2 linked regions of the Anolis sagrei genome follow. The protein of the gene in region 1 interacts with the protein of each later gene in a pairwise test. Links are inferred from orthologs where the notes say so. Each region holds a gene or a part of one and is shown on either strand. Other genes may lie near its edges. The genes, in order: PUM2 and DAZL.

What was found.
Region 2: the proteins of PUM2 (region 1) and DAZL interact in a two-hybrid assay, tested with the Homo sapiens proteins (2 studies listed by BioGRID and IntAct). The link is inferred for Anolis sagrei from reciprocal best matches to the Homo sapiens genes PUM2 and DAZL.

The regions. Positions count from the first base shown.
Region 1 is NC_090021.1:136,242,453-136,258,577, forward strand, and holds the start of PUM2 (pumilio homolog 2), read right to left. Parts: upstream 7,913-16,125; 5' UTR 7,789-7,912; intron 1-7,788. UniProt on the Homo sapiens protein: Sequence-specific RNA-binding protein that acts as a post-transcriptional repressor by binding the 3'-UTR of mRNA targets.
Region 2 is NC_090026.1:88,918,354-88,934,693, reverse strand, and holds the start of DAZL (deleted in azoospermia-like), read right to left. Parts: upstream 8,628-16,340; 5' UTR 8,471-8,627; coding exon 8,468-8,470; intron 2,249-8,467; coding exon 2,108-2,248; intron 864-2,107; coding exon 772-863; intron 1-771. UniProt on the Homo sapiens protein: RNA-binding protein, which is essential for gametogenesis in both males and females. Plays a central role during spermatogenesis.

The sequences.
Region 1 (16,125 bases):
CTATATCCAATCTTTCACATGCAAAAAAAAATTACCAGGAAGACTTTGTGAGCTTTTCTAGGTCCTCCAGTGTGTGGTTCTATAGTATACTTCCAGCTCAAAACATGCCATAAAATAGTACTGGAGGACCTGGAGAGACTCACAAACAAATTCATTCTTCAGTATTTTTTTAAAAAATCAAAAATTGTAAAAACAAAAAAACAAACAAAAAAACACACACACACAATCCCTTTTCATTTCTTTTCTGGCCCTTCAAATCTCTTAACTGTAACAAGAAAGCTCTTGTTAGCAAAGGTCAGAAACTCCATTGCTGAACTGACAGTGCTGAGCCAATGCATATAAACACCTTTACCTTGGAGGAGTCATAGCCCTAGATCAGTGGTTCTCCAAGTATGAGTCCCCAAGTGTTTTGGCCTACAACTCCCAGAAATCCCTGCCAGTTTATTAACTGTTAGGATTTCTGGGAGTTGAAGGCCAAAACACCTGGGGACCCACAGGTTGAGAACCACTGCCCTAAATGGAAGAACAGACTAACTTATTCCTACACACACAGTTCCACTGCAACCACCAAAGAGGAAGTGATATACAGACATAGTGACAACTAGTCTCTCCCATAATGGAGACAAGGGAGAGGTGAAGGAATTAACATTGGCATTAAACAGATATCTCCACTATTGACTCTCTCTCTTCCTCACAAATCCTTACTGCACATCCAGTGACCACATGTTTCAGCTTCTGGTTATTGCTCACTATTTTTCTTCCCATCCCTTCCACTAAGTTCCAGATCTTCCATACATGTGGTTGCATGCAGTTAAAGAATACACACCATCATCACCAGAATACGAGAAGTTCCACCATGGTGTAGTAAACCTATTTATGAAGGTGCTATGGAAAGGAACATCTCTGACCAATAGCTGCTGTACCACCTTCACCCAGTATTAGTGAAAGCAAATTAACTCTCAATCACAATACTACAATACAACATCTATGTGGGGTTACCTTTAAAAACTATTCAGAAGCTACAGCTTGAGAAAAAGATCCCCCCCCCCCCCCAAAATTATTCTCTCTGGCCCTTTTGAATGCCTTGTTGGGAAAATGATGGTGGAGGCATCGGCTCTTTGGCATCCCTCCTCCCAGGAGTGGTGAGAAGCAGCCTGTGATTTATTTAGGTTTTCTTAGGAAGGACTAATTTTGCAATTTTAATGGTTCCCTACAATCACCACCTTTTTTTGGCAGGAATTAAAACCATGTCTGAACTTTTATCAAAATAGGAAACATCTCAAAGAGTGGCAAAAGATCTGTTTGGATGCCTAGGCAGGAAAATGGTGGTGGTGGAGGCAGCCAAAGAGGCTGGTCCCCTGAAGCAGAGCTAGCTGTTTCCTCACTGCAAGGAATGACATTCCAATTTGCCACAAATCATATCAAAATCCATAATTTGACAGTCAAACCTTTCCTCAACTAATACATGACATTAATGTATACACAAGTATATATGATTTGTTGACCTATAAAGCCATAGGCAGTTCAAATCTTCAACAGAGACCCTACTGCACATACCACTAGCCCAAGAGGCAAGCAGAACTGTAGTAAAGCTGGTACGCAACAGGAATAATTTTGTCCAAGACAAGCCAGACTAGTTTCATTTCTTCTGAAAATTTACAAATGGTTTTCCCCCCTTTCTGTGTCTGAGTTTTAAAAACTAACTTTTAAACCTATGTTTACTTTCTTGTAAAATTTTAAATCAATATATATTTGTTTTAGGCAGAGTCCTGCAGTTCTGCAAGCTTCATGACTGAAAGCTATGCAACAATTTGTGGTGTTCCTGGCAGGGAGCAGGTGATCAGGCTTGTTAAGTCTGCTATTTGTCAATGCCATGTTCAGTAGCTGGAAGCCTGGGCTAAAAGAGTTACTGGCATAAGCAGCAGCACTCCTGAATGATTTGGCTACAGGAGCCCCTCATCATCTTTTCTATGTGAAGTGTACTCTAGAATCCAAATAATGGCCTAACACATACAAAACACCAAGAACGAGGAATCCTCATGAAAAATATGGGATCCTGGCATGCTGACTGGGCTTGAGATTGAGGGAAGGAGAAAAATACTCAACAGCATCTCTTCTTGTTAGCTACTATGGCTCAGAGGGTAGGAGATATCTAGCATTAAGGATTAAAGATTTGCCCTTACTCTTTTGCTTATGCATATACAGAGATGACAAAGAAGCTGGAATGGGGGCTTTCTATTTCAATGCTGGGCCTCAAATTCTAACCTTCTGCTTCCATCTAATCCCTTGGTGCCTGTCTCAGCTTAATCCAGTGGTTCTCAACTGGAGAACCCCTGGATGTTTTGGCCTTCAACTCCTAGAAACCCAGCTGGTAAACTGGCTGGGATTTCTGGGAGTTGTAGGCCAAAACATCTGGGGACCCACAGGTAGAGGATCATTAGCTTAATCCTTCCCCTCTTTCTGAATGGCTCTTCAATTTCATAAGTAAACCTCATACCAAGTCCAAGAAGAAATACATGTAATTTTCAAAGACCTCCTGGGAAGGGAGATAAGTTGGGATATTTTCCTTTTTATACATGGCCATTAATGTGCTGTGATTTTTAATAGTGTTTTGAGAGCAATACATCTTGTATGGAGTTTAAAGGAAATATCTTCTGAAATCTCATGAGATTCTAGCTGAGGATTTTTTTTCAGCAGCACAAAAGGGAAAGAGAAAGAATCCTTATGTTTCTGATTCTGGAAATACAATGTATAAAGATTTTCCCTACACCTAAACAGGTTGACACAATCAGGAAAACCATAAAACTGAAAGAAATTTTGCATTATTGAATTACTTTCTGAAGTTCTACATCATAATTTTACTGTAACATTATTAGTCACTAGCCATCCCGTGCCACGCATTGCTGTGGCCCAGTCTGGTGATCTGGAAAACAAAGTAATGAGAAAGTGTTGCTTTCTAATATATGTAATTTCTTTTATGTTTGTGGGTAAACAGTATTTCTTGTTTCTTTGTCAGTATTTATGTAAAGATTGCCTGGTTTGCCTACTCTGGAACATGGAACATATTACTGTCCCTCTTTAGGGGTCCCTTTCAAATTTGTGATACTATGTCTGTCATATACATATGTGTGTGTGTGTGTGTGTGAATCATATATATCTATCTAAATCTATGGCTGGATGGCTCTTTGTCTGGAGGGCTTTGATTATGTTTTCTTGCCCTGGTGAAGGGAGTTGGACTGGATGGCCTTAAGGCATTATTTCTCAACCTGGGAACGTCCTGAGGGGGTGTCAGAAGGGTTGCCAAAGACCACCAGAAAACACAGTAATTTCTTTTGGTCATGGGGGTTCTGTGTGGCATATTTGGCCCAATTCTATCATTGGTAGGGTTCAGAATACTCTTTGATTGTAGGTGAACTATAAATCCCAGTAACAACTCCCAAATGTCACGGTCTATTTCCCCCAAAGTCCATCTGCGTTCATATTTGGCCATATGAAGTATTTGTGCCAAGTTTGGTCTAAATCCTTCATTGTTTGAGTCCACTGTGCTCTCTGGAAATAGGTGAACTACTATTCCCAAACTCAAGGTCAATGGCCGCCAAACCCTTCCAGCATTTTCTGTTGCTCATGGGAGTTCTGTGTGCCACAATTGGTTAAATTCCATAGTTGGTGGAGTTCAGAATGCTCCTTGATTGTAGGTGAATTATAAATCCAAGCAACAACTCCCAAATGTCAAAAAAAATTTGGAGTGATGGTCACTCCTTGGGTTAGTAGGGCTCTTATGACCAAACTGAGCGGCAATTCATCCAGTGGATTGTAACTGATGTCACTCAAAACGAACAGAGCATGCGTGTGTGTGTGATAATAAATTGAAAAAAATATTCTGAAAAACAGTTTCAAATGAAATACAGAATATACTTCAAAGGAAGAAACATATCCCCACAAATGTAAATGTAATATACAAAAATAACCCAAAACATCAGCTTCATGAATTGGGAGTCTTTCCTTCCCCATAATCAACTATTACAGAGCCTTTCTAAGGAATGAAGGTTACTCAAATGTTTTATATGAATCACTAAGTGCAATAACCAATTTCCGTAGTATTTTAAAAGGACCAATAGACACCACAGTGTCATCTTTTGTAGATTATAACACACTTCGGCAGATATGCAAAGTGTTGCTCAAATTTCTCTTAATCCCCTCCCCCCCCCCAGAGAATAGATATTTGGGAGGCGGGGGAGGGGTTTTTAGAAATACTACAATCTTACGCCAACCATATTAGGGTACGAACAGACATAACTCATATTACAAAGCTGCCCACAAAGAAAGTTTTTCTCTCTCTTGTTCTCTGCCTGACTGGAATGATTTTTAGCAGCAATGCAACAGGGAGAAGTTGGAAAACAGTGAAAAAAGGCTGGAGAAATACATTCTTACAATGTTGAATTATCCCAGATGTCTGCAGTAAACACTGCAGTAAAGCTTCAGTTGGAAAGAAAGGGATTTTGTTCTCACTGATCTTACTGTAACTGTGTGTGTCTGCTCACAACAGGCATGGCAAACTGCAGCTACCTCCAGAATCCCTTACTGATCACATGTGAATAGCGAAACAAGATAGAAAAGGAGAAATAAAAATATGACCTTATCATCCATCATTAGCATATTAAAAAACCACAGATTTGTGAGTCTAGGGTCCTTCCACACAGCCCTATAGCCCATGATATAAGGCAGAAAATCCCACAATATCTGCTTTGAACTGGGTTATCTGAGTCCACACTTCCATATAACCAAGTTCAAAGCAGATATTCTGGGTTATATGGCTACATGGAAGGGCCCCCAGTGTACAAAATGGAAATCGTAAGAAAAGTAGAAGCTAGTGTCGGGAGGCAGGGGGGATATCCTTAGATGCATTTTGTAAAATACTTTCAGATTATCTCTGGACAATTCCAAATGCTGATCTGATCTGCTTGGTTTATTTCATTTGCACATTGTCGGTCTTAAATAAAAAGTTTGCTAAAACATGTTAAACTGCTTTTTGTGTTGGTGTAAGAACCTTTGACTATTCCTTACATCCGGCATCTTCAAATTGCAGCCCTCCAGCTGTTTGGGCCTTCAACTCCCAGAATTACTGACAATTGAACAAGCTTGTTAGGGCTTTGAGAGTTGGAGGCCCAAACAGCTGGAGGGCCGCAGTTCGAGGATGCCTGCCTTTCATGATATTTCTGCATCTGTTATAAAACCTTTATATTAAAGTAATACTCTAGAATGCATCTAGTCTATTAACTGTAACAGAAGTTCTAACGAACTCTTTTTGCATATAAAAGTGTGGTCTACGGCTATTAAAAGGTAATGCAATAATAAATGAGCTATAATCTTTAAAGTGGCAGAAGACCCTTATTGTTTTGCTGCAACAAACAGAGCAACCCAGTTTCCCTTTGGGACTCAGATTACCGTAACTATGCCCCCATCTAAACTGACAATTTAATGTTATTTCAAACTGGTACAGATGAAAGTGATGTACAGATGATTAAATAGGAAATCCTGAAATCAGTTTGAGGCCCGGATGGAGATTACAAAAACCTCAAAAGACTTGTGCACATTAAGAGGTTACTTTTGCTCACTTTTGCGGGAGTTTGATGTCTGATCCCCGCATTTTGAAGCTAGTTTGGAACTGCATTAAATGGTCAAAATAAATAGGACCGATGAAACTTTTAAGAAACAACGGGTAGGCCAAAGCTTTCCTTTTTCTACACAACTTCCCTGGAGAATAATTTCAGTGTAACACAAGAAGATTCCTATTTTTAGCCACCACTTCTTTTAACAGCTACTCTCCCCCACCTTACTCTTTTGTCACATCAATCCTTTCCTCAGATTACAACACAAAATGGAATCTCATGTCGGCGAGGGCCTAACTAACAGATAGGTTCCACTACAGAAATCGCACTTCCGCTCAAATATTCCCGCAGTTTACTCTTGTTACAGTTTTAGCTCTCCTCGTCAGAATAGGCTGAGCGCGCAAAGCCAGTTCCTGTTGGCAAGGCTCCACCAAAACAACAAAGGGAGAAAAAGAGGTTAACTGGTCCACTGGCCAATCCAGTGCCCCGGCGATGCTCCTCTTTCGCCTCCCACAGCCGAGGAGGCCTCTAAGCACTGCTTTCTCCTACAAAGGGAGCACACACCCCAGTCTTTGAACCACAGGCTGCACAAAGAGAAGGCCACTTCGAAGAAACCCACCAGAAAGGCCCCTTCCCCCTTGACACTCCGCTCCACCGACTTCCAAAAGGATCTCCTTGTCTCTCTTATGCAATCTCCTGTCCTAACCACCTTTGGAGCTGCATCTCCCAGGAGGCGACAAAGCCCATGGAGGTTCCTTTCACACAGATATCTAACCCAGAATATCAATGTGGAAAATCCCACAATATCTGCTTTAAACTGGGTTATATGTCAGTGTGGACTCAGATAACCCAGTTCAAATCAGCTATTATGGGATTTTTTGCCTTGATATTATGGGAAATGGGGTTGTATTTAAGGGTCCCCAGAAGATCAAGGCAGAATATCCCACAGTATCCGCTTTGAACTGGGTTACCTGAGTCCACACTGACATATATTCCAGTGTAAAGCAAATATGGGATTTTATTCAGCTGCGTGGAAGGGGCCAGAGGCACTTCCTGAAACTGGGCAGAGGGCCCTTCCACACAACCATATATCCCAGAATATCAAGGCAGGAAATCCCACCATATCTGCTTTGAACTGGGTTATCTGAGGGCCAATCTACACAGTCCTATGTCCCAGAATATTATGGCGGAAAATCCCACATTCTCTGTTTTGAACTGGGTTATCTGAGGGCCCTTCCACACAGCATTATATCCCAGAATATCAAGGCAGAAAAGCCTACAATATCTGTTTTGAACTGAGTAATCTGAGGGCCCTTCTACACAGCCTGATATTCCAAAATAGCAAGGCAGAAAATCCCACCATATCTGCTTGGAACTGGGTGATCTAGGGCCCTTCCACACAGCCCTATATTCCAGAATAGCAAGGCAGAAAAATCCCACATTATCTGTTTTGAACTGGGTTATCTGAGGGCCTTTCTACACAGCCCTATATCCCAGAATATTATGGCAGAAAACCCCACATTATCTGAGTTTTGACTCAGATAAACCAGTGCAAAGCAGATGTTCTGGCTGTGTAGAAAGGCCCCTAGAATATCAAATCAGATCATGCACAATATCTGCTTTGAACTGGATTATCTTGAGTCCACACTACCATATAATCCAGTTCTATGTGGATGTCAGACAACTGTGTAGCCAAGAGATACATCAAGTGCGATAAAGATGATCATTTTATATTATTTGGGGATGGGGGAAAGGCAATGGCAACGTTTCCAAAGATACCCTGCTGGCTCCTTCCAGCACCACACCCACACTGGCCGCCTCCCTCCTCGTCTCTTTCTCCCCCCCCCCCCTTTCCACCTCTGCGCGGCGCTTTGTATGGCTTCCTCGCCTCCACACAGGAACACAAAGGGACGTAACGCGGATCCACCATGCAGGCCCCGCGCGGGGGGAGGAGAGCGGCGAGGAGGGCACAGCCACCGCGGCTCTTCCCTTCTCTTTCTCCCCCTCCCTCCCTCCTTTATTTTTTTTTCTCCCGGCGTCGAAACAATAGAACGTGGGTGAACGGGCGCAAGGGGGGGGGGGAAAGAGGCTGGAATACCCTCCGCGCGCGCGCTCGCTCACTCGCCGCCTCCCTGCCGTTCCACCCACCCAGCTTCCCTCCCCCTGTTGGAATACTCACAGGCTGTAACGGACTCAGGGAGGGGGGCTCCCTCCGCCTGCAGCAGCGCTCGCGCCGATAATGGCCCCGCGCGGCCACTCTCGCCTACCCTCCGTCGCCGCCTTCTCCTCCGCCTCCTCCTCCTCCGCCTCCTCCACCACCACCACCGCCGCGGCCGCCCCTCCCCCTCCGCCTCCTCCTCCTCCACCACCGCCGCCGCCGTGAGGAAGACTCACAACAACATGGCGAGTGAAAGAGAGAAAGAGAGGGACAGACATACACAGCAACAGCAGCGATAGCAGCGGCGGCGGCGGCAAGCGACTACTGCGCATGCGCGCCCAGGCCCCAATCGGTGAATGCTGGGACACAAAGGGGGCAGGCTTTTTTCGAGAGGAGTCCGAGGGAGAGAGTGCGTGCGTGCCTCCGTGCGCGCGCACACACACGCGCCACCTGCCCCGCCCCTTCGCCCTCCCTGCGCGTGCGCAGGAACCGCAAGCCGCTCACCAGAAAGAAGCAGGAAAAAAACAAAACAAAGCCATAGAGGCTCGGTCTTCGCCGTTCAGCAAGACAAAGAGTTCCGGTTCTCAATTGCATTCACCATATGAGGGGCAAGAGGGCAGAGAGGCCTGCTTCTGGCATAAAAGAGCTCACAACTGGGTTGTTGTAGGTTTTGTCGAAGGCTTTCATGGCCGGAATCACTGGGTTGTTGTAGGTTTTTCCGGACTACATGGCCATGTTCTAGAGGCATTCTCTCCTGACGTTTCGCCTGCATCTATGGCAAGCATCCTCAGAGGTAGTGAGGTCCCACTACCTCTGAGGATGCTTGCCATAGATGCAGGCGAAACGTCAGGAGAGAATGCCTCTAGAACATGGCCATATAGTCCGAAAAAACCTACAACAACCCATTCTTGTAAGTTTCTCGGTCTATATGGCCATGTTCTTGATGCATTCTCTCCTGACGTTTCCCTGCATCTATGGCAGGCATCCTGCCACAGGATGCCTGCCATAGATGCAGGTGAAACGTCAGGAAAGAATGCTTCTGGAACATGGTCACACAGCCCAAGAAACCTACAACAACCTAGTGATTCCAGCCATGAAAGCCTTCAACAATACATAGACGATGCAGGCAAAACGTCAGGAGACAATGCTTCTGGAACATGCCCATGCAGCCTGGAAAACTTACAATAACCTACAAACAAAACAGCTCCCTGCTCTCAAGGCTTACAGTCTAATTAAGACATGACCCAAAAGAAAAAAGAGATGGCAGTGTGGGAGTAGATTGAGCACAGAAGATATGGATGGCCTCCTGGGCTTCTATGAGGTAACAGGGATCCTCGACTGTTAGATTCAGATGGATTGACATCTATCTATGCAGTAGATTCTCTGTTATCCAGAATTCTCAAGCAATCGGCAAAAAATGGAAGAAATAGTGTTTATAATACATTAAAATTGGTGTTTGAGATGCAGTAAAAACTTTGTCTCATTAAGTGTGTCTTTATTTGCCTATATTTGTGTTTGATGGCGGCATTTCAATATTAATATTACCAGTGGCACAGGGGGTTAAACTGCTGAGCTGTTGAACTTGCTGACTGAAAGGTTGGTGGTTCGAATCTGGGGAGTGGGATGAGCTCCCGCTGTGAGGCCCAGCTTCTGCTAACCTAGCAGTTTGAAAACTTGCAAATATAAGTAGATCAATAGGTACTGCTCAAGCAAAAAAGTAATGATGCTCCATGCAGTCATGCTGGGCACATGACCTTGGAGGCATCTACGGACAATGCTGGCTCTTTGGCTTTGAAATGGAGATGACCACCCTCCACAGCCGGGCACAATTAGACTTACTGTCAGAAAAAACCTTTACCTAATATAGTAAAATCGATTTTTGCAATACAATAAAACTTCATCACATTAAGAATGTCTTTATTTGTCTATATTTGTGTTTGATGACTGCATTTCTATATTAACGTAAAGTTTTACTCCAAGTCTGTTGCTGAATACGCATGCCCAGTGTGGAATACAGCTTGCCATGTTAATAGAGTGGATGTAGCTCTTAATAAGACATGTCACATTATAACAGGATAGCTATGGCATGAGGAGAGGCGGGTAGGAAATAAAATTGTTACTACTACTACTACTATTATTATTAGCATTAGAATATGAGAAAGCAATGGTGTCACTGTCTCAGCCACCTATATGGACATCTTCAGATTTGGGAATTCCCAATAACGGATGCCCTTCCAATATTCACGTTTTCATTATTCTTTATTGAACGTGTTGTTAGCTTGTGTATATTGGTGATAAAAGTACATTGGAGATTCACAGCATTTATGTACTTCACAGTACAGCAAATAACATGGAGAAAGCAAACAAACAACCTGTATTAGTTTCAACATTCCTCATCTGTAAACATCTCTCGTTGCTTACTTTTCACAAAATTGGTCTAGATTTACTGGCCAGTGAGGCCTCTTCTACACTGCCATGTAATCCAGATTATCAAATCAGATAATCCACATCCGCTGCTTTGAACTGGATTATATGGGTCAACATTACCATATAATCCAGTTGAAATCAGATAATCTGGATTTTGTCTCGCACTGTAGAAGGAGCCTGAGAGTTTTGTGTTAGAATTTCTTTGGGATTCCTGATGCCAAACATGTAATGATTAATTCACTTGGTTTTGCTCCCAAGTAAGCAATTCCAGTAGAACAATTAAGAATGACCTTTAATTTACAAGCCTGCTAATGATGTTTGTAAGAAGCCTTGGAATGTTTTTTAAAGTATTTTTTATTGGGAAAGAATGAACACAATACAATGGCAATAGCAAAACAAACAAGATTTTAGGATATATTACAAGGTGTCTTAAACTTGTTCCACTCATGACTCCCTTTCCACCGGATACATTTTTACATGATTCCAGGTACACAGTGATATAAAATAGATATGAAAATCAAACATTTACTGATAACAAATCAGCATTTGCAAGGCTTGCTAAATAGGCTGATTTTCCTTTTCGAAGAACACAGCTGGAGCATTTTCTGCAGATCCCACTTGCTAACAGATCCGTGTAAATGGGTGGCATTCAGAAAGCTTTTACTGTGGTCAATTTTTTGCTGATCTCAACATTGAACTGCGGGGACATCCTTTAAGCAGCAGTGATATATAATACCAAAACTATACAGTTACATTCTACTACCAAGTACAAACTGAAACTGAATCACAATACGAATCACACCTACTCATAAAAACCTCAACACTCCTTTTTGGATGGCTTTTACCCATTATAAAGGTTTTCCCCTGACATTAAGTCCCATCGTGTCTGACTCTGGGGGTTGGTGCTCATCTCCATTTCTAAGCCAAAGAGTCGGCGTTGACCTTAGACACCTCCAAGGTCATGTAGCCAGCATGACTGCACAGAGTGCCGTTATCTTCCCACCGGAGAGGTACCTATTGATCTACTCACACTTGTATGTTTTCAAACTGCTCGGTTGGCAGAAGCTGGAGCTGACAAGCGGGAGCTCACCCTGCTCCCCAGATTCGAACCTGTGACCTTTTGATATGTAAGTTCAACAGCTCAGTGGTTTAACCCACTGTGCTACCGGGGGCTCCTTATAATTCTACACTATTTAAATGGTATCATACAGCCACACTTCTACCTTTGGTCTGTGGTGTTTTTAACTAGTTCCACTAGTACCAGAAATAGGGAGAAATAGCATACAATATTGTTAATTGAGCACTCTCTGATTTCCTGGTAAAGGAGCGGGCAAACTGTGACCTGCAGGTTTGGCAATACGAGATACACCATTTAATAAAGAAGGCATTCCTAAACCATCAGCTGTGCTAGGCGTTTGCGTATTTATTCACACTAATTTGGATCAGCCTTGCCGAACCTTTTCCCTCTCCAGGTCCTGGACTAGAGCTCCTGCCCTTCTTGCCCATCCAAAACACAGAGTCGATGAGAATTGTAATGACACACATCTGGAGAGCCCTGGATTGAGGAAGGCTGGTATACAATTACATACCAATCGGCGCTTCGAGGTTATTGTCGCCAGCAGAGATGTTGACAGGCAGGAAACTGAGGTCAAATTTAGGCCTGTGAAACCCATACCTAACAGGAAGCGTGTATCAAAAGTGACAGAGGCCAAAACAGGCTCAGCGTGTTGGGCTAATTGTCTCCTTTCCGTGGCAGCCTTGCCTATGCACCCGTGGAATAGATAAACAGGACACAAAGCGACAGCATTCCTTCTCCCCACTTCTTTTGCAACTGGAGCTCACAGGTCCCTGAGTCTGGAGGTTCAGTTTAGCTTCCAGGATTACTGACGAAAATTGTTAAGAAGGCAGCAAAGGAGCTGGAGGAAGGGAAGAATAACAGGAAATACAATAGGAGTGAATTACGGGCTGCAACTCTCCTTTTGGAAGCAGTGGCACCTATCCCACTGTTTCTGGCTCCATAGGACATGATACAAGTCACTGGCAAGGTCATAGCCCACCTTTGAGTCCTTGATGATGCAATCTATGTATATGTCTTAATTTCATTATTTAATTTAAAAAATGTGTTTAAGGATGCTCCCAAACAATGCCAAAAGATGTGCTTTAAAAGAGAGGCAAAAAATCACGGGACCTGGCAGAAGGCAGCACACAGACCTGTCAGTCTTTTGAAGCGGATCAAGATGGAGGATGGATGGGGACATCCGGCAGAAGTTGAGTTATTTTTTTTATTATCTTCGTAATGTGCTGAACTTCATATGTGCTTAATGTACACACAAACAGATTCTTATTTCTCTCTTCACTCAACTGTTAATTCAAGCTCTGTTTAATATTATGAAGTTCAAAAGAAAGAGTTTCAGAGGGTTCTAATTGCCTTCCACTTGTACTTCCTTTGAGCCACCTATGTGTCCATGGCCCCATTTTTTTGACAGCCTGATGAACTGATTAACTGTTTCAGGATTTCAAAAGGTACAGTTGTGCTAGAGCAGTCTGCACAGGGGAAGGAAAGCATATGTTTTGCATGACTGCAGGGATATACAATCATACGAAGGTACACATTTTTGGGGTTTAAAGCACACCTTTTTAACATGCTTTTCAGCTGTTAACCTGATTCCGCCCACACTTTGTTGAAATATGATATATCCACCCACTTTCATCCCAGTTACTTCTGGGACATGGTTTTTAGCCGTATGTGAAAGTCAGTGCAGTGGTAATTGCTGCTGGAATAGGTACTTATAAAATATTATACAACTGTAAATTACAGTCCTCCATATTTGCTGGGATTAGTGGCATAAAACCCCTAAGAAAGTGAAAACACATGGGGGGGGGGGAGAGAGAGATTACTAGATTTTTTTTTTACTTGAGGCTGGATCTATACTGCCCTATATCATAGGATCTAATACCAGATTATCTGCTTTGAACTGGATTATATAAGTCCACACTGTCAGAGAATCTGGGATAAACAGATAATCTGGGATCAGACCCTGGGATATAAAACAGTGTAGATACAGCCTGAGAAAACACATCTCTAGCAATTTCTAGGTCTTCCAATATGACACTGTCATTGAAGGACATAGAGAGATGTTTTCTCTAGAAATCTCAGGTCCTCCAGCATTTGGGGGAAGGTGACCATAGACGCACATTGAAGGACCTAAAGAATCCTAGAGAGAGCATTTTTAATCAAATCCATGAATAATCAAATCCACAAAAGCCAGAACTGTAAATGTGGAGGGACAATTACTTTTCAACCAGAGTTTTTCATGAATAGGATAAATATTTTTATTTTATGTGCTGTTACAAAGTATATCTTTACTGCATTTACACATATTGGAAGTCTTCAGAGCTAAGCAATTTATAAATATTCATAAACATATTAAACTTTGAATTCTCCATTTATTTGTGTGGTCTCAGTGAGTTACTATTGCCTCAGTTCCATGAATCCTCATGCTTAAAACCAGCTTCCTATTGGACTGGCAGTATACTAATTATCCAAGGCCTGTAATATTTACATAGACCTAAAAAAATTTTCCAGAAGAGCTCAGTGTCACTTTGAGGAAGTTAAAGCAGGAATGAACAGCTAAGGCAGATGAGGAGGTGGGTTTTTTCCTCTGTGGATCTTATGGAGCAGAGATTACTTTCAAAGAGAATATCCAATTATTGAATGAAAAATACTCCTGTATCAAAAATAGAAGGTAGGAAATACTCAAGAACAAGGCAAAACATGATTACAGCAGAAAAGCCCACAACCCCAACCCCGAGATGAAGAAACATTGATAAATTACAGGTTTAAAAGATAACTATATGGTACTAATTGCTGAAGCAACACCACAGAGTCTTTCAGCACAGATTATTACCCTTACAATTAATTGCTTTAATTTTGTTCTTTGCAGGGTGTAGTCTGTTGGCCTCTGCTTTACATCCCCAAATATGTCATTTTGATGCCTAAATAATCCAGCCTTCTTTAGTGCCCTGTTATGCCCTACTGAGTGTAAATATTTATTGAGTTATGTTTTTTTTTAAAAAGGGGGGGGGGGAGCAAGGCATACCATTGCACAAAAAGATGATCTGAACAAATTCTACTGTTCCATTTTTGAGTGGTGGATATAGAAGACACTCTGAGGATAAACAAACAATCATATTTAAAGCAGGGGTCAGCTGCCTTAGGGCTACACCGGGCCCTTAGCCAAATACCAAAAGGTCCATTCAAAACAATCAATTCAGACATCTGGCAAGAATAAAATGATTGCCTTCCCTCACTGTCGCCAGGCTTTATGGGTTGGGAGGAAGAAGGTTTGGGGTTGGCAGAAGTGACAATGGGGGAGGGAAGAAGAACCAAAAATAGAAAGAGAAATGACAGAACGAGAAGAGGAAAGGAATGAAGGAAAGGGACACATATCAGATGAGGTTGCCACAAAGGGAAGTGGGTTGATAGAAGACACCTTTTTATTTCAGCATGCCTCCTTTTTCATGTTTATTGATGGTTTGTTGTGAAAAAAATCTTGGGAGTCCTTAAGGACATCAAGTTAAACATGAGCCAATGATGTCATGCAGCAGCTAAAAAAGCCAATGGGATTTTGGCCTACATAAATAGGAGTCTAGTGTCGAGATCCAGGGAAGTCGTGCTACCCCTTTATTCTGCCTTGGTCAGACCACATCTGGAATCACACTGTGTCCAATTCCGGGCACCGCAATTGAAGGGAGATGTTGACAAGCTGGAATGTGTCCAGAGGAGGGTGACTAAAATGATCAAGAATCTGGAGAACAAGCCTTATGAGGAGCGGCTTAAATCGCTGGGCATGTTTAGCCTGCAGAAGAGAAGACTGAGAGGAGACATGATGACAGCCATGTATAAATATGTGAGGGGAAGTCTTAGGGAGGAGGGAGCAAGCTTGTTTTCTGCTGGCCTGAAGACTCGGACATGGAGAAAATGGCTTCAAGCTACAAGAAAGGAGATTCCACCTGAACATAAGGAAGAACTTCCTAGCGGCGAGAGCCGTTCAGCAGTGGAACTCTCTGCCCCGGAGCGTGGTGGAGGCTCCTTCTTTGGAGGCTTTTAAACAGAGGCTGGATAGCCATCTGTTTGGGGTGCTTTGAATGTGATTTTCCTGCTTCTTGGCAGGTGGTTGGACTGGATGGCCCAAGATATCTCTTCCAACTCTATGATTCTGAGATTCTATGGCAACATATTGATTAGACTTCCATCTAATATTAGTTCCTGAGAAGATCTTATTTTGTAAACAGCTGTCACTGCAACACAACCTTCAGTTAGGATGGAACAACCAATTCATGAGGACCATATATAACTGATAAGGACAAGGGGCCAACAGGGGTAAATCATTTTCTTAAATCTCTGCCATTCCATATCATTTAAGGTTTGTTGTGCAAAAGCAGCAAAGAATTGGGAAGCCCTGGCCCTTTAGTGCTTTAAATGGAGATCAGTTGTGTCCAGCAGTGCTGCGGATTTCGAAGAGGCACAAATTGAGGGCAATAGGGAGAAACGTACCAAGAGAAAGGCGCATCAAGCCAATCCTGATCGGGACTGTCTTCCACCTGGGAACCAATGCCCTCACTGTGGAAGAACATCCAGGTCAAGAATAGGGCTCCATAGACACCTACGTATCCACTGCCAAGACACTACACTTGGAAGGCCATCATATTCAGACAACGAGGGATTGCCTAAGTATATCAGTTAAACAAGTACAAATTGAGATAAGGGGAATCATAGAGAGAACATGGATAGAATGTGAGTATTTAATGTCGTTTCCTCTCCACTTCCTTTTAGATGAAGCGATCTAAAAGCTTAACAGTTTGCAGATTTTTTGGTTGTCCCTAGAGAATTATGTATAGTTCAACCCCCATTACCCACAGATTTAATAT
Region 2 (16,340 bases), on another chromosome or scaffold:
ATATCCTATAGACCCATATTTGAATACTGGTGGGGTTGGGGACAGTGATTTTGTCATTTGAGAGATGTAGTTGTTGGGATTTATAGTCAACCTACCATCAAAGAGCATTCTGAACACCACCAACGATGGAATTCAACCAACTATGGCACACAGAACTCCCATGACCAAGAGAAAATACTGGAAGGGTTTGATGGGCATTGACCTTGAGTTTTGGAGTTGGAGTTCACCTACATCCAGAGAGCACTGCGGACTCAAACAATGATGGATCTGGACCAAACTTGGAACAAATACTCAATATGCCCAAATGTGAACACTGGTGGAGTTTGGAGGAAATAGACCTTGATATTTGGGAGTTGTAGCTGCTGGGATTTATAGTTGACCTACAATCAAAGAGCACTCTGAACCCAGCCCACAATGGATCTGCACCAAACGTGGCACACTGCCTACATGGACAACACTGAATACTGGTGGGGTTGGGAGGCTGTTTTTGAATTCTGGGAGTTGTAGTTCACCAACACCAAAAAGAAAGAGAAGGACAGGTGGAGAGATCTTCAGCCTTCTTTGCCAAAAGGGTTCCTAAGACCATCAGAAGCATGTGTTTTCTGGTGGTCTTTGGCGACACCTCTGAAACCTCCCTCACAACCCCCAGGTTGAGAAACACTGCACTAACATGTCACAATACACAGTTTGGAAAGCTCTTTGTTATGGTATAGTCACTATAATTGTTATAATTTCACCGACAGACTAAAACTTCTTCTATATGCGACTTACCCTTTGGACACACCAGTTCGATCAGTGATTATTTTCACTTCTTTAACTGTGCCATATCGTGCAAAGAAGTTCCGAATTTCCGTCTCATCCATCTAGATATGTTATATCATACAAAAATTAATACTGTCACAGTTCTCCGAAGCACTGCTTCAAAACTGTTTAGAAAGCTCCCAAATAATACTGAACTCTCAGGAATTTATACCCCCATGACAAATAAATTACTATTGTTGAATAAAGTAAGAAATAAAACTGTCAAACAAGTTTAGATGAAGAGGCTAGACCATGGGTACTTTAGGGCGAAATTAAGAAGGCAAGAGAAAATAGAAAAAAAAAGAATTGAAATATAGTCTGAATGCATTAGGGCAGGCATCCTCAAACTGTGGCCCTCCAACTCCCATTGAACAAGCTGACTAGGTCTTCTGGGAGTTGAAGTCCAAAACAGTTGGAGGGCCAGTTTGAGGATGCCTGCATTAGGGAAAAGGAATTAACCCTTATTAATCTTGTGGAAGCAGGGAGGATGGATTGAGGGTACTAGAAATTTCATAATTTAAGAGGAAAATCAAACCAAGAAAAAGTAACTGATTTCCTTTGGGTATAATTTAGTAAACAGTTTTGTCTTATCATATTTTGAAACAAAAGTATCCAAGGTTTTTTTTGAGGGGGTGATTATTTTAAGAGACCGAACAGTTGTAGGGACATGAAAATCAGAAAGTGATAAAGCCAAGTTGAAGAAAATAGTTTGTTCAGAAAATGTTCTAAGTTTGTAGCAATTTCAAGTTATACAGGTACAAAACAATTCTACCAATGTTAACAGCTAGAACACCAGAATAAGACACAAAGAACAAGTGTGATTTTTTTGGAAATAGAAATTGTTCTTTATTGTTGAGATTGCATTTATGTCATAGTCTTTTGTTGCTCAATTACTACTACAAAATGTTTTTTGTAAGAATTCTATATAAAGCTTAATTGCATTTTTGGGGTGGAACTCTGGCCTACCAAACCAGATCTATCTAATGCTGCATCATTAAATATACTGCTGGATCCTCAGGATGAAGTAGGACATTAAATTCAATTCAATATAAAATAGATACATACATCTGGTCTCTATGTTTCTATATAGAGTGCCAGTATGTAGTGATTTGAGTGCAAGACTAGGACTTTGAGACCAAGGTTCAAATCCCTCTTGGACCATGAAGATCCAGAGATGGTCATGAACAAAACTAAGATAAAGGCAATGGTAAACCACTTCGGTAGAAATCTTGCCAAAAAAACCCCATACCTTATGACTGTAGTAAGTCAGAAGCAATTTGAAGGCACATGACAACAACAAACATACCCTTATATCAATTCCTCCCACAAAAACAGTATTTGGCATGATTTTCCCTTCAGGAAGAACATATCCTTGGCTTGTTGCAGGCAACTGAGTGCTTTCGTCCCTAGGAATGCTTGCATTCTGAGCATCTTGACTTCCAGCAGACTGCAAAGCAATAAAACAGATTTCCTTAAAAGACATTTTCACACTTTAGGCTAGGAAATGTATTTGAATATCTCACAGGTATAAGTGCAATTAGTAAAGCAATGCCAACATTACTACAAGGATAACCACTTGAAGCCTAACCCTGTCAAGACACAAGTGTGTGCCTTCCACCTACATAACCATGAAGCCAACAGGAAATTGAAATTTACCTGGGAAGGCCAAGAGCTCGAACCTGTTCCTATCATAAATATCTCAGCGTCACCTTAGATCAAACACTAACATTTAAGAAACACTATGAACACAAAGTACAAAGTAGCTGCTCGCAATAACATCCTGCGGAAACTTACTGGCAGTGCATGGGGTGCAGACCCAAAATGAATAAGAACATCAGCCCTGGCCTTGTCTTATTCAACTGCTGAATATGCCTGCCCTGTTTGGCACAAGTCTGTCCACATGAAACAGGTGAATATAGCACTGAATAAAGCATGTAGAATAATCACAGGATGTCTCAAACCCACATCTGTTTATAGACTGTATAAGCTAGCTGGCATTGCCCCCCCCTCCCCCCAATGTGCGGCGGGAAGTTGCTAATTGAGAATCACCACTCCTCTTAATGTTTCCCAGCAACAGCAACTCTGGGCAGCTAAAACAGGAAATCCCAAATGAATGACCCGCCCCCCTGAGGGTCTTCCCACAGGGGCAAATGAAGAATGGCCAATTTGAAAGTCCCTGAACAGACTCAGAAGTGGAGTGGACAGATCAAAAGACAACCTGACAAAATGGCAAAACGAACACCGCATGTGTATGCTTGCCTACAATGACCTGCCTCATGCGCAAAGGAAGAACTGTTTAAAGGCACAGACAATGCGTTGCTGTTGCCCATTTTTGGTCTAAAATTATTTAGCTGCTTGTGCTCCCTCTATTTTATCAGTTTTATACTTATTTATGTAATGCTTTTGACATAAAATAAATAAATGCAATTAGTGGCACAGATGCTAATATGAAAACCATTAAGTTTTGGTTTGTCTATAATATGAACATAAAAGCCTATATTGGTCAGTTTCATTCGACTTGCAGGTTTCACTAAAATCTCATCTATACACATCTTTTTATAGACCATATTTTCTAACTATTATCTCTATTAACATTACAGTTTTTCAAGTTCAAAAGATTATACTGAGTATTTCAGGTGTTCTTTGATCCCATACTATTAATAGCTGGTACAACTCCTCACCAGCAGCCAGATTTCTGTAACTTGACAAATTTCACTAAATACCAGCCTGGAAAAAAATCTATCACACAAACTTCTCCCATCAGGCCTCATGAGTGTTACCAATTTGTCTTACAGGCAGTTAAACTCCAGTTGCATTAACCAGCAATTTCCCAAAACCCTAGTTAGGAATACAGGCACAGAGGTTAAGAACATAGGTGGGTGCCAGAGGCAGAGATAAAATGGAAAGAATTAGCACTGGTTACTACACCACAAAATAGCAGTTCGTTGTGGGTTTGCAAACTTTTTATCCAAAATAACATGCACATGTGAAATGAAACCAATCAGGTCATGTAAGCCTTCCAGAAAGACAAAAATATATGGAATCTTCTTGAGATCACTTGAAGGCTTCTTTCAAAATGCATCCAAGGATCACTTTATCCTTCATCTACTTCCACTTTGTAGATTTCAATTTTGGTGGCCAAACTTACAGATCTGGTTTTTTTTTTAAACAAATTTGTTGGATAGCCAGCTGCCTTTAAGTTGATGTTCATGAATGCTTAGTAAAGGATTCTGCAGGCACCTGCTGTTTATCTTAAGTGTTGCAGGCAGATACAAACAAGCTGGAATAGGAACAGTTAAGGGTAAAATGGCATACTTTGCAACTCAAGCATTTATTACATTGTTTATTGCAGACAAATTGCTGCAACCTGACACCAATAGCCTGTGTTTCTCCACACATCCTTCACTACTGGAATTCCCAATGCTGATGCTGTTAAAAAAACTTCCAACTAGATAAGAGGACAAGGAGAGGAAAGGTTGAGGCTTGGGGTTACAGTAAAACTTGGAGGTGCTTCAGTTGGAAATTGGTTCAAACCCTATAACCTCGAACTAAGCCCCAATGATAACAATGGAGCTTACTTCCAAGTAGGCACAATGAAGATTTCAGAGATGAAGGCTGCATCTACATTGTAAAATTAATGCAGTCTGTCAGAATTTTAACTGCCGGGGCTTGATACTATGGAATCATGGGAGTTACGGCTTTACAAGGTTTTAGTCTTGTCTGCTCAACAGGGCAGGCGCCTCACCAAACTGCAAGTCCAGTTTCAAGGCAATTTCAAATCAATATTGAAAGAAGTGGTTTCACTGTGCAGATGATGACACAGAAAAACCTGGAATCAGTTTGAGGTACAAAAACCAGAGAGCGTTGAGAGCTTTCTTTGGCACACTTTTGTGGAAGGTAGTTGCCTGGCTGCCAATTTGAAGCTAGCTTTGAACTTCATTAAATGTTCATTCTAGATGGGGCCCAAGGGTGCAGATACCCTGTAGAATTAATGCAGTTTGTCACAATTTTAATTGTCTTATCAAGTTTGATACTATGGATTCCTGGGAGTTGTCAGGAGATTGTTAGCCTCCTTTGCAGGAGTGTGCTGGTGCCTCACCAAACTACAAATCCCATGACTCCATAGCACTGAGCCATGGCAGCGAAAGTGGTGTCACATTGCATTAATTCTACAGTGCAGATGCACCCTTGGAAATTGGCTTGAACCCAAGGATTTACCTAGATGTAACACCCAGCAATGACAATGGGGCTTACTTCTAAGTAAGCACACTAAAGCACATTAAAGACTGCAGCGATGAAGCGGGGCAGAATTAATGCAGTTTGTCACGACTTTTAAATATAAATACCATGGCTTCACAGGATGGAATCAAGGAAGTTGTGGTTCCACAACGTCTTTCACCTTTTCCGTCTGTATCCTGGTGGCCTTACCAAACTATGAATCCCATGATTCCACAGCATGGAGTCATGGTAGTGGTGTCAAAAAGTATTAATCCTCATATCCTAAAATTAACCGCAGGCAGCCAGATCATCAATTGGAGGCCTTCCCCGCAAACATTCTCTATAAGTCAAGGCTTGGATCTACACTGACATGATCAGTGCAGAGCAGACATAAGCAAACTTCAACCCTTCAGGTGTTCTGGACTTCAACTCCCACAATTCCTACCAGGTGTTAGGAATTGTGAGAGCTGGAAGTCCAAAACACCTGGGGGACTGAAGTTTGCCCATGCCTGGTGTACACCCCTATAATGCCACTTGAACTGCACTGAAGGGCATTATAGATGGTTACTCCACAAAACTACATAATACAGACCTTTAAAACGTATTCTGAACTGCACTGAAGTGCATTATAGGAGGTTACTACACAAGACTACATAATATAGACCTTTATAATGTACTCTGAATTGCAGTGGAGGTTACTACACAAGACTACATAATATAGACCTTTATACTGTACCCTGAACTGCACTGAAGGGCGTTATAGAAGGTTACTACATAAAACTATATAATATGGACCTTTATAATGTACTCTGAATGATTTAATGACTTAAATCAATTAATAGTTTTCTAAGATCTAGAGACACTCGCGGGAACACCTCAGCAAGCAAGAGTCCAAAAGTGGCAGGCTCAAACCCAGAACCTCAATCAATTGCTACCAAATGAGAGTCTCCTCCCTGGACACACAGAAAATTGGGCGACTTGGAAGGCGCTGAACAGGCTGCGCTCTGGCACCACGAGATGCAGAACCAACCTTAAGAAATGGGGCTACAAAGTGGAATCCACGGCATGCGAACCACAGACCATCTACTGCAATGCAACCTGAGCCCTGCCACATGCGCAATAGAGGACCTTCTTGCAGCAACACCAGAGGCACTCCAAGTAGCCAGCTGCTGGTCAAAGGACATCTAATAGAATACCAAGTCTGCAAACTTTGTGTTTTGTTTGTTTGTCTGTAATGCAATACAACTGTTTTGGTTCGCTCCTTACACAATGATTAAATAAAATATGTATTCTGAAGTGAACTGAAGGGCATTATAGGAGGTTACTACACAAAACTATGGACCTTTATAATGTACTCTGAACTGCACTGAAGAACAGTATAGGTTACTACACAAAACTATATAATATGGACCTTTAAAATGTACTTTGAACTGCACTGAAGGAGGTTAATACACAAAACTATATAATATAGACATTTATAATGTACTCTGAACTGCACTGAAGGAGGTTACTACACAAAACTATATAATATAGACCTTTATAATGTACTCTGAACTGCACTGAGGGACAGTATAGGTTACTACACAAAACTATATAACATGGACCTTTGTAATGTACTCTGAACTGCACTGAAAGGCATTACGAGAGGCTGGTACACAATACTATTGAATATAGACTTTCTTAATATACTCTGAACTGCACTGCAGAGCAGTCATTATAGGTCACTACGCAAGACTACAAAATACAGACTTTTATAATATACTCTGAACTGCACCGAAGGGCATTATAGGAGGTTATTACACACTACCATATAATATAGATCTTTACAATGTACTCTGAACTGCACTGAAGGACAGTATAGATTACGAAATACAGACTTTTATAATATACTCTTGAACCGCACTGAAGGGTATTATAGGAGGTTACTACACAAGACTACATAATATAGACATTTATAATATACCCTGAAGGGCATTACAGGAGGTTGCTACACATTACCATATAATATAGATTATATTGTACCCTGAACTGCACTGAAGGACAGTATAGGTTACGAAATACAGACTTTTATAATATTCTCTGAACTGCACTGAAGGGCATTATAGGAGGTTACTACACAAAACTATATAATATGGACCTTTATAATGTACTCTGAACTGCACTGAAGGGCATTATAGGAGGTTACTACACAAGACTACATAATATAGATATTTATAATGTACCCTGAACTGCACTGAAGGACAGTATAGGTTACTACACAAGACTATATAATATAGATCTTTATAATGTACCCTGAACTGCACTGGAGGGCATTATAGGAGGTTAATACACAAAACTATATAATATGGACCTTTACAATGTACTCTGAACTGCACTGAAGGACAGTATAGGTTACTACACAAAACTATATAATATGGACCTTCATAATGTACTCTGAACTGCACTGAAAGGCATTACAAGAGGCTACTACACAATACTATTGAATATATACTTTCTTAATATATAATAAAGAATATATACTTTCTTAATTTAGTGTATTTTCCCTAATGCACTAAATGGCATTACAGGAGGTTACTACACAAGACTATACAATACAGACCTTTATAATTTACTCTAAAGTGCACTGAAGGGCATTATAGGCGGTTACTACCCAAGACTGAAGGGCATTACAACGACTATATATTGCAGTTCAGGTAGGATAGACCAAGCATGGGCAAACTTGGGTCCTCCAGGTGTCTTGGACTTCAATTCCCACAATTCTTAACAGCCTCAGGCCCCTTCCTTTTCACCCCCAGCCGCTTAAGCGGCTGGGGGTGAAAAGGAAGGGGCCTGAGGCTGTTAGGAATTGTGGGAATTGAAGTCCAAGACACCTGGAGGGCCCAAGTTTGCCCATGCCTGGTGTAGACCCAACCCAAGACGATCTGGGAAGGCCAGTGTGGCTTTCAACTGTTCTGAACCAGAGCCCCCACATTTAAAGTGGATTGAAGCCAGGGATCTTGCTGCGCCCATTTGAGGTCTAACTGGTGGTGACACTCCAAAGCAATGGCGCGCGTGAAGGGGCCTTGCTTTGGCGCGCTTTTGGTGGCAGTTTGAAGCCGCCTTCGAAGTGCATTCAAAGACCGTCGAGATGAGAGTGTGCCTGAGGAGACAAAATGGTGGTGGCGCCTATCGAATTCTGCACTTACTCCTCCGCCATAGGCCCCAAAGCCTTCCCGTCTCCCCTCAAAGGCGTGGCGAGGGCTTCCCGCCTTTTCCACCCAACGCCACATCGTCCCTCCTTCAGCCGCTTTCTCCCTCAAACCCTTCGAAGCGAGGCGCTCTTAAAGACCCTCTCCAGCCATTACTAGGCTCCCCATATTGGGCCTATTCATTCTTTTGTCCCCCTCCCTGCGCCTCAAAACAAGACCTACAACTCCTTGGGCGCGTTGTTCCCTGCGCGACGACTCACCATCTCTGCCCACGCGCGCGCGGCCTTGGTCACAGGCGGGTTCCCCAACGTGCTCCCCAAACCCCGGCTCCAAAACACACAAAAGAGACCAATAACAACCCCCACACGTACACCTCCTTCCCTCAAAACACAAGCCTCGTCCTTTTAAGCGGCAGGTTGGGAAGGCCCGGCCCAATGAGGCTCAAGCCACACCCAACTCGCCTTCCTTAGACAGGGATCCAGCCGGGACTTTTTATTCCCATGGAGGGAGGGAGGGAGGGGGGCCTGGTTGAGGCCTAAATCCACACTCATGGCGTCCTTTTAAGCCTTTACTAAAATGTTACACATATTGGGGTTGGGTTAGGCCACAGCGTTTCTCAACCTGGGGAGGGGGGGTGTTGTCAAAGACCCCAGAAAACACTATTTTCTGTTGCTCATCTAGGTTTTGTGTGGGAAGTTTGGCCCAATTCAATCGTTGGTGGAGTTCAGAATGTGCTTTGATTGCCTTGGTTAGACCACATCTAGAATATTGTGCCCAATTGAAGAGAGATGTTGACAAGCTGGAATGTGTCCAGAGGAGGGTGACTAAAATGATCAAGAGTCTGGAGAACAAGCCCTATGAGGAGCGGCTTAAGGAGCTGGGCGTGTTTAGCCCGAAGAAGAGCAGAATTCAAAACGATCTTGACAGATTAGAGAGATGGGCCAAAACTAACAAAATGTTATTTATTTTATTTATTTGGAGTGCTTTTACCCCCCCTAGGGGGGACTCACGGCGGCTTACAAAAGGCACAATTCGATGCCTAACAATTACAACATACAACACACTATACAATACACAAATTTACCACATAATACCACAGTTATAACTAATTAAAACCATCAGACAGTATACTAGCAGCAATAAAACATCTTGTGGTCAGTGTTCACCAAATCCAAGTCCGTAAACCATTTAGCATCGTCATTGTCCTTTCCTACTCTGGTCATTATTGGTTGTCTTTGTCCATCTGCCAGCTTACCCGAACGCTTGGTTCAACAGTGACAATGCAAGAAATGAAGTTCAACAGTGACAAATGCAAGATACTCCACTTTGGCAGGAAAAACGAAATGCAAAGATACAAAATGGGGGATGCCTCGCTCAAGAGCAGTACGTGTGAAAAGGATCTTGGAGTCCTCATGGACAATAAGTTAAACATGAGCCAACAATGTGATGTGGCGGCAAAAAAAGCCAATGGGATTTTGGCCTGCATCAATAGGAGCCTAGTGTCGAGATCTAGGGAAGTAATGCTACCCCTCTATTCCGCCTTGGTTAGACCACACCTGGAATATTGTGTCCAATTCTGGGCACTACAATTGAAGAGAGATGTTGACAAACTGGAATGTGTCCAGAGGAGGGCGGCTAAAATGATCAAGGGTCTGGAGAACAAGCCCTATGAGGAGCGGCTTAAGGAGCTGGGCATGTTTAGCCTGAAGAAGAGCAGAATTCAAAACGATCTTGACGGATTAGAGATGGGCCAAAACTAACAAAATGAAGTTCAACAGTGACAAATGCAAGATACTCCACTTTGTGATTGCCTTGGTTAGACCACATCTAGAATATTGTGTCCAATTCTGGGCACCACAATTGAAGAGAGATGTTGACAAGCTGGAATGTGCCCAGAGGAGGGCGGCTAAAATGATCAAGGGTCTGGAGAACAAGCCCTATGAGGAGTGGCTTAGGAGCTGGGTATGCTTAGCCTGAAGAAGAGCAGAATTCAAAACGATCTTGACGGATTAGAGAGATGGGCCAAAACTAACAAAATGTTATTTATTTTATTTATTTGGAGTGCTTTTACCCCGCCCTTCTCAACCCCCTAGGGGGGACTCAGGGTGGCTTACAAAAGGCACAATTCGATGCCTAACAATTACAACATACAATACACTATACAATACACAAATTTACCACATAATATCACAGTTATAACTAATTAAAACCATCATACAGTATACTAGCAGCAATAAAACATCTTGTGGTCAGTGTTCACCAAATCCAAGTCCGTAAACCATTTAGCATCGGCATTGTCCTTTCCTACTCTGGTCATTATTGGTTGTCTTTGTCCATCTCCATTTCTAAACCGAAGTGCCGGCGTTATCCATAGACACCTCCAAGGTCTTGTGGCCGGCATGATTGCATGGAGCGCCATTACCTTCCCAGACCTATGGATCTACTTGGGAAACTGGAGCAGACCTATTGATCTCACATTTGGATGCTTTCGAACTGCTAGGTTGGCAGAAGCTAGGGCTAACAGCAAGAGCTCACCCCATTCCCTGGATTCGAACCTGCGACCATTGAGTATTTGTGCCAAGTTTGATCCAGATCCATCCTTGTTTGAGTCCACCATGTTCTCTGGGGTTGCAGATCCATTGTGGGCTAGGTTCAGAGTGCTCTTTGATTTAAGGTGATCTATAAATCCCAGCCGGGAGCCCCCGGTGGCACAGTGGGTTAAAGTGCTGAGCTGCTGAGCTTGTTGACCGAAAGGCGTGAGCTTCCGCTGTCAGCCCTAGCTTCTGCCAACCTAGCAGTTCAAAAACATGCAAATGTGAGTAGATCAATAGGTACCACTCTGGCGGGAAGGTAACAGCTCTCCATGCAGTCATGCTGGCCACATGACCTTGGAGGTGTCTATGGACAACGCCGGCTCTTCGGCTTAGAAATGGAGATGAGCACCACACCCCAGAGTCAGACATGACTGGACTTAATGTCAGGGGACAACCTTTACCTTTATCAATCCCAGCAATTACAACTCCCAAATGTCAAGGTCTGTTTCCCCAAGACTCCACCAGTGTTCATATTTGGGCATATTGAGTATTCATGCCAAGTTTTGTCCAGATCCATCATTGTTTGAGTCCACAGTGCTCTTTGGATGTAGCTGAACTACAACTCAACATATATGTCATGTCAGGAGCAACTTGAGAAACTGCAAGTAGCTTCTGGTGTGAGAAAATTGGCTGGATTATTAGTTTAGGATTATCCCAACTCAATCACTGCTGATGTCATTAGATATTATGTGTTAAGGAACAACAGTAATTTTCACAACTTGTCATATATCCTCTACCACACAGATAAAACAAATTTTCTTGTTTTGGGAATTAAGACAGAATTCCTAGTGAAAGGGGAGGTTCCCAAATCAATATGAAAAGAGAGAATGGTTCCTTCTACCTTTTTGTCATATCAGGAGCGACTTGAGAAACTGCAAGTAGCTTCTGGTGTGAGAAAATTGGCCATCTGCAAGGATGTTGCCCAGATGATGCCTGGATGTTTTGATTTTTTTTAACCATCCTTGTGGGAGGCTTCTCTCATGTTCCTGCATGGGGAGCTAGAGCTGAAAGAGGGAGCTCACCTGCACTCTCCCTGGATTTGAACATGCAACCTGTTGGTCTGTAATCAGAAAGAGAAAGAGTGTGGTTGTTTTCTGCCGATTTAGAGGAACTCAACCAGTGGATTCAAATTACAAGAAAGGAGTCTCCAAAGGTAGAACCTCTTGGTGGTAAAATTTGTCTAAAAGTAGAATAGGAAGATTGTAGATTTTTCTTCTAAAGCTTGTAAAAAGAAGAGTAGATGTCCATGCCTTAGGTTTCTTTGCAATTGATTTCTACACTAGTATTGCAGCTCTATGGATCTGATTAATTTTAATCATATTGACACCAATTTAAGGTTTTTAAGTGGGTAGATATATTCAGCAGGCACATGTGTTACTCATGCAAAATCATACTTTTTCTGAACTTCTAATTCAGTGATTCCTTTACTAGTGTGCTTCCTCCTGGCAGCACAATTCATACTCGAGTTGAAGTCGGATTATATTGAAGAATATACTTAGGAGAGGGAAGGAAATGCATGTGCAATAATCCAAATCAGAATGGACAAATGTCAAGGTGGAACTACACCATTTTAGGTAATTTATTTGTGAATCCGAACCATGAAATGCACACTTGTTAGAAAGATCATAATCAGTTAATCTAAAAAGTAAACACTGCATAGAAACTGTTTATTTCTTGTTCGCCATTTAAATAATGTTGATTCAAGTGAAAACATTTAGAGAAACTAACCCAGCAAATAACATTTGTAGTTTCTATTTCTTGTCTCACAAGGGTCAAGATTATTAGATTTCGTCAAATCCCAATGATAAAAGCATTTTACAATTGTAAATATTTTAATTTGTTTAACTTTGTTTTCTTAAATGTTTATAGTGTATGTTTTGAATTTAAATCCGTGTTAAAAATGAAGAGTCTCATGTTTTAATCTTCATTTCAGCCTTTTTATGTGTTCTTAATGTTTCTTTATTCTTTTTATGCAAGTGCTGAAAAAAATTGTATAATCTATATAAATTAAAATGTAATGTTTGTTTGTGGGATTAACATAACTCAAAAACCACTTGATGAATTGACACCAAATTCAGGCACAATACACCTATAAGGCCAACGAGTGACCATCACTCATAAAAACACTGAAAAAGAGAGCAGAAGAGACTTAAAAAGCAAAAAAACCCAAACCCCAACAACATTACAATGCATGCGCAAAACTACATAAACACAAATATATATACACACAAAAACACATATGCTCAAACTGGGCCACAGCAATGCGTGACAGGGGACGGCTAGTTTTGAATATAATTTTAGTGGTTGTCCATGCAATGATCTGTTGAGAGACAGCTGGTCAGTTTCCAGAGAAATAGCTGTGTTGGTCAGTGACCTGTGGTAGCACAGGACTATTGCTTAGAATCATACAATCATAGAGTTGGAAGAGACCTCTTAGGCCATTCAGTCCAAGCTCCTGCTAAGAAACAAATAATCATATTCAAAGCACCCCTGACAGATGGCCATCCAGACTCTGTTTAAAAGCCTCCAAAGAAGGAGCCTCCACCACACTCCAGAGCAGAGAGTTCCACTGCTGAACAGCTCTCACAGTCAGGAAGTTCTTCCTAATGTTCAAATGGAATTTCCTTGCTTGTAGTTTGAAGCCATTGCTCTGCGTCCTAGTCTCCAGGGCAGCAACAAACAAGCTTGCTCCCTCCTTCCTATGACTTCATCTCACATATTTATACATGGCCATCATGCCTCCTTTCAGCCTTCTCTTCTGCAGGCTAAACATGACCAGCTCTTTAAGCCGCTCCTCATAGGGCTTGTTCTCCAGACCCATGATCATTTTAGTCACCCTTCTCAGGACACATTCCAGCTTGTCAACATTTCTCTTCAATTAAGGTGCCCAAATTTGGACAGATTATTCAAAGTGTGGTCTGATGTAGACACTATACTTGTTCTGTTGCAGCTCAAAATCCCATTGGCTTTTTTGCCACCCAAGACATTGTTGGTTCATGTTTAACACATACTTCTGTCAAGCCAGGCGCCCCCGTTCTCTATCTTTATATTTCATTTTTTTCTGCTTCTGTTTATTCCAAATCTATATAATTATTCAACTGTTTCACAGTGGTCTCTCCCTTTGAAATTCTTCTGTTGGAATGATCTCATTTACTCTGTCTCTGGACCAGCATTGCCTATGCCGGCTGTTAAACCCCCTTTGGGATCTTATTAGTGGTAGTTTTCCCATTTGTTTAATCAGAATGTCCCAGTGCCTGCTATGGCCGCAGTTCTGTGTCAATACATCCCTCTGAATCCAATTAATTTCAAACTAAAGAGAATGACCAAGATTCAAAGTCAAATACAAAATGCTTGAACCAATTCAACAGAAACTTTCTTTGTTGTTCTTTTATTTTAGCATATGATATAATTACATCTTTTGAAACTTCTGTCTGTTTCAAAAGCAGCTTGCCATGATCCATTGGGTGTACTGATCAAGAAAAAAGTATTCAAAGATTGCAGTATGCACTTGCTTCGGAATAAGCACATAAGGAAGCTGATGAAAAACTCAACCTACAAACCATCTACAGACCCATTAAGAAAATCCAACAAATGCTATGTTCAGTAAAAGACAAGAGGGATCCTCTCACCTCTGCAGGAGTCTACTGTATACCATGCAGCTGTGGACAAGTCTACATAGGGACCACCAAACACAGCATTGCCCAAACATGAATCAAGGTACGTGAAAGGCACTGCAGACTAATTTAGCCTGAGAAGTCAGCCATAACAGAACACCCGATGAATCAGCCTGGGCACAGCATATATTTAGAACACAGAAATGCTGGACCACTCTAAAAACTACCATGTCAGACTACACAGAGAAACCATTAAAAACATGTGGACAATTTCAACAGAAAGGAGGAAACCATGAAAATGAACAAAATCTGGCTACCAATATTAAAAAAACCCTCTAAAATCAGGACAGTAAATAAAGAACAACACTAAAAAATAGGGAAATTCCAGACAAGAAAGAATCAGGGCCAGCTAATCACCTCCCAACAAAGGATTCCTTCAGGCAGGGAGCAACCAAGCCTTGAAGCTGCAAGGCTATTCAATGCTAATCAAGATGATCAATGGCATTCACACTTGCCTCAAACAGACAAGAGTTCTTTCTCCCACCCTGGACATTCCACAGATATATAAACCTCATTTGCCTAGTTTCCAACAAACCTCACAACCTCTGAGGATGCCTGCCATAGATGTGGGTGAAATGTCAAGAGAGAATGCTTCTGGAACATGGCCATACAGCCCGGAAAACTCACAGCAATCCAGTTTCACAATGATTTGAAATTCACACAATTAGTAGAAATCTTTTTGTAATCAGTTAGTGGAGAGGAGAGGCAGAATCATACCTTTCCCACAGGCAAAAGCAGCCAATTTCTAACTTGTCCTTCCTTATTATTAATAACTGTTGCCATCTTAACCATCCCCTGGTACTGCTTGGCTACCCTTGTTTTGTTTCTATCTGGAAAATCGAGGCTACAAGTCTGCATTGAACAGGAAAATGGACTAGATGCTCTCTAAGATCCCTTCCAACTCTATGGTGTAAACAGAATGTTAAGAATAGAAAATGAGATGCTTGGCAGAGGAAGGCACAAGATAATGCAAAATCTTTTAAAATACCTTGGAAGGAAGGATTCGGAAATTAAACAGCAGAATATACAATTTTTGGAGATTACTTTCTTGGATTTGTAGGCAGAATAATCAGAGCCGCATAGCACGATAAGAAACATACAGTAATAGCATTACAAATTGTCAGTAGTTTTGGAAGTATATATTTGCATTGCTATAAGTCTCTGATAATCTTTTAAAAAGATTTTCCCTTAAATCCTATTTCTAACCTTGAAGTTTGTTAACATTTTGGGTATGCATTTGGCTCTGCAATTGCCCTGAATTATTTGTATTCTCACATTCAGGTCCATCAAAATCACATTATTTTCAACATCTCTGACCCTCTAATCATAATGGCACAGTGTGTTGTCGAATGTTGGGAATGCTGGACCACCCAATAGGCTCCTTGGCTACTTAAACCGATATGTATAAATATATTTTGTTGTTGTTTATACTGATAGAATTTGGATTGCCATTAATTTTCAATTGTTGTTGTTCGTTTGTTCAGTCGTTTCCGACTCTTCGTGACCTCATGGACAAGCCCACACCAGAGCTCCCTGTCGGCCATCACCACTCCCAGCTCCTTTAAGGTCAATTCAGTCCATCTTGCCTTTGGTTGACCCCTCTTCCTTTTTCCTTCCATTTTCCCCAGCATAATTGTCTTCTCTAAGCTTTACTTTCTTCTCATGATGTGGCCAAAGTACTTCATCTTTGCCTCTACTATCCTTCCCTCCAATGAGCAGTTGGGCTTTATTTCCTGGGGTATGGACTAGTTGGATCTTCTTGCAGTTCAAAAGCATCTTCCTTCGCTCAGACTTCCTTATGGTCCAGAAATACAAAGTCTGTCACTGCCTCCACGTTTTCTCCCTCTATTTGCCAGTTATCAATC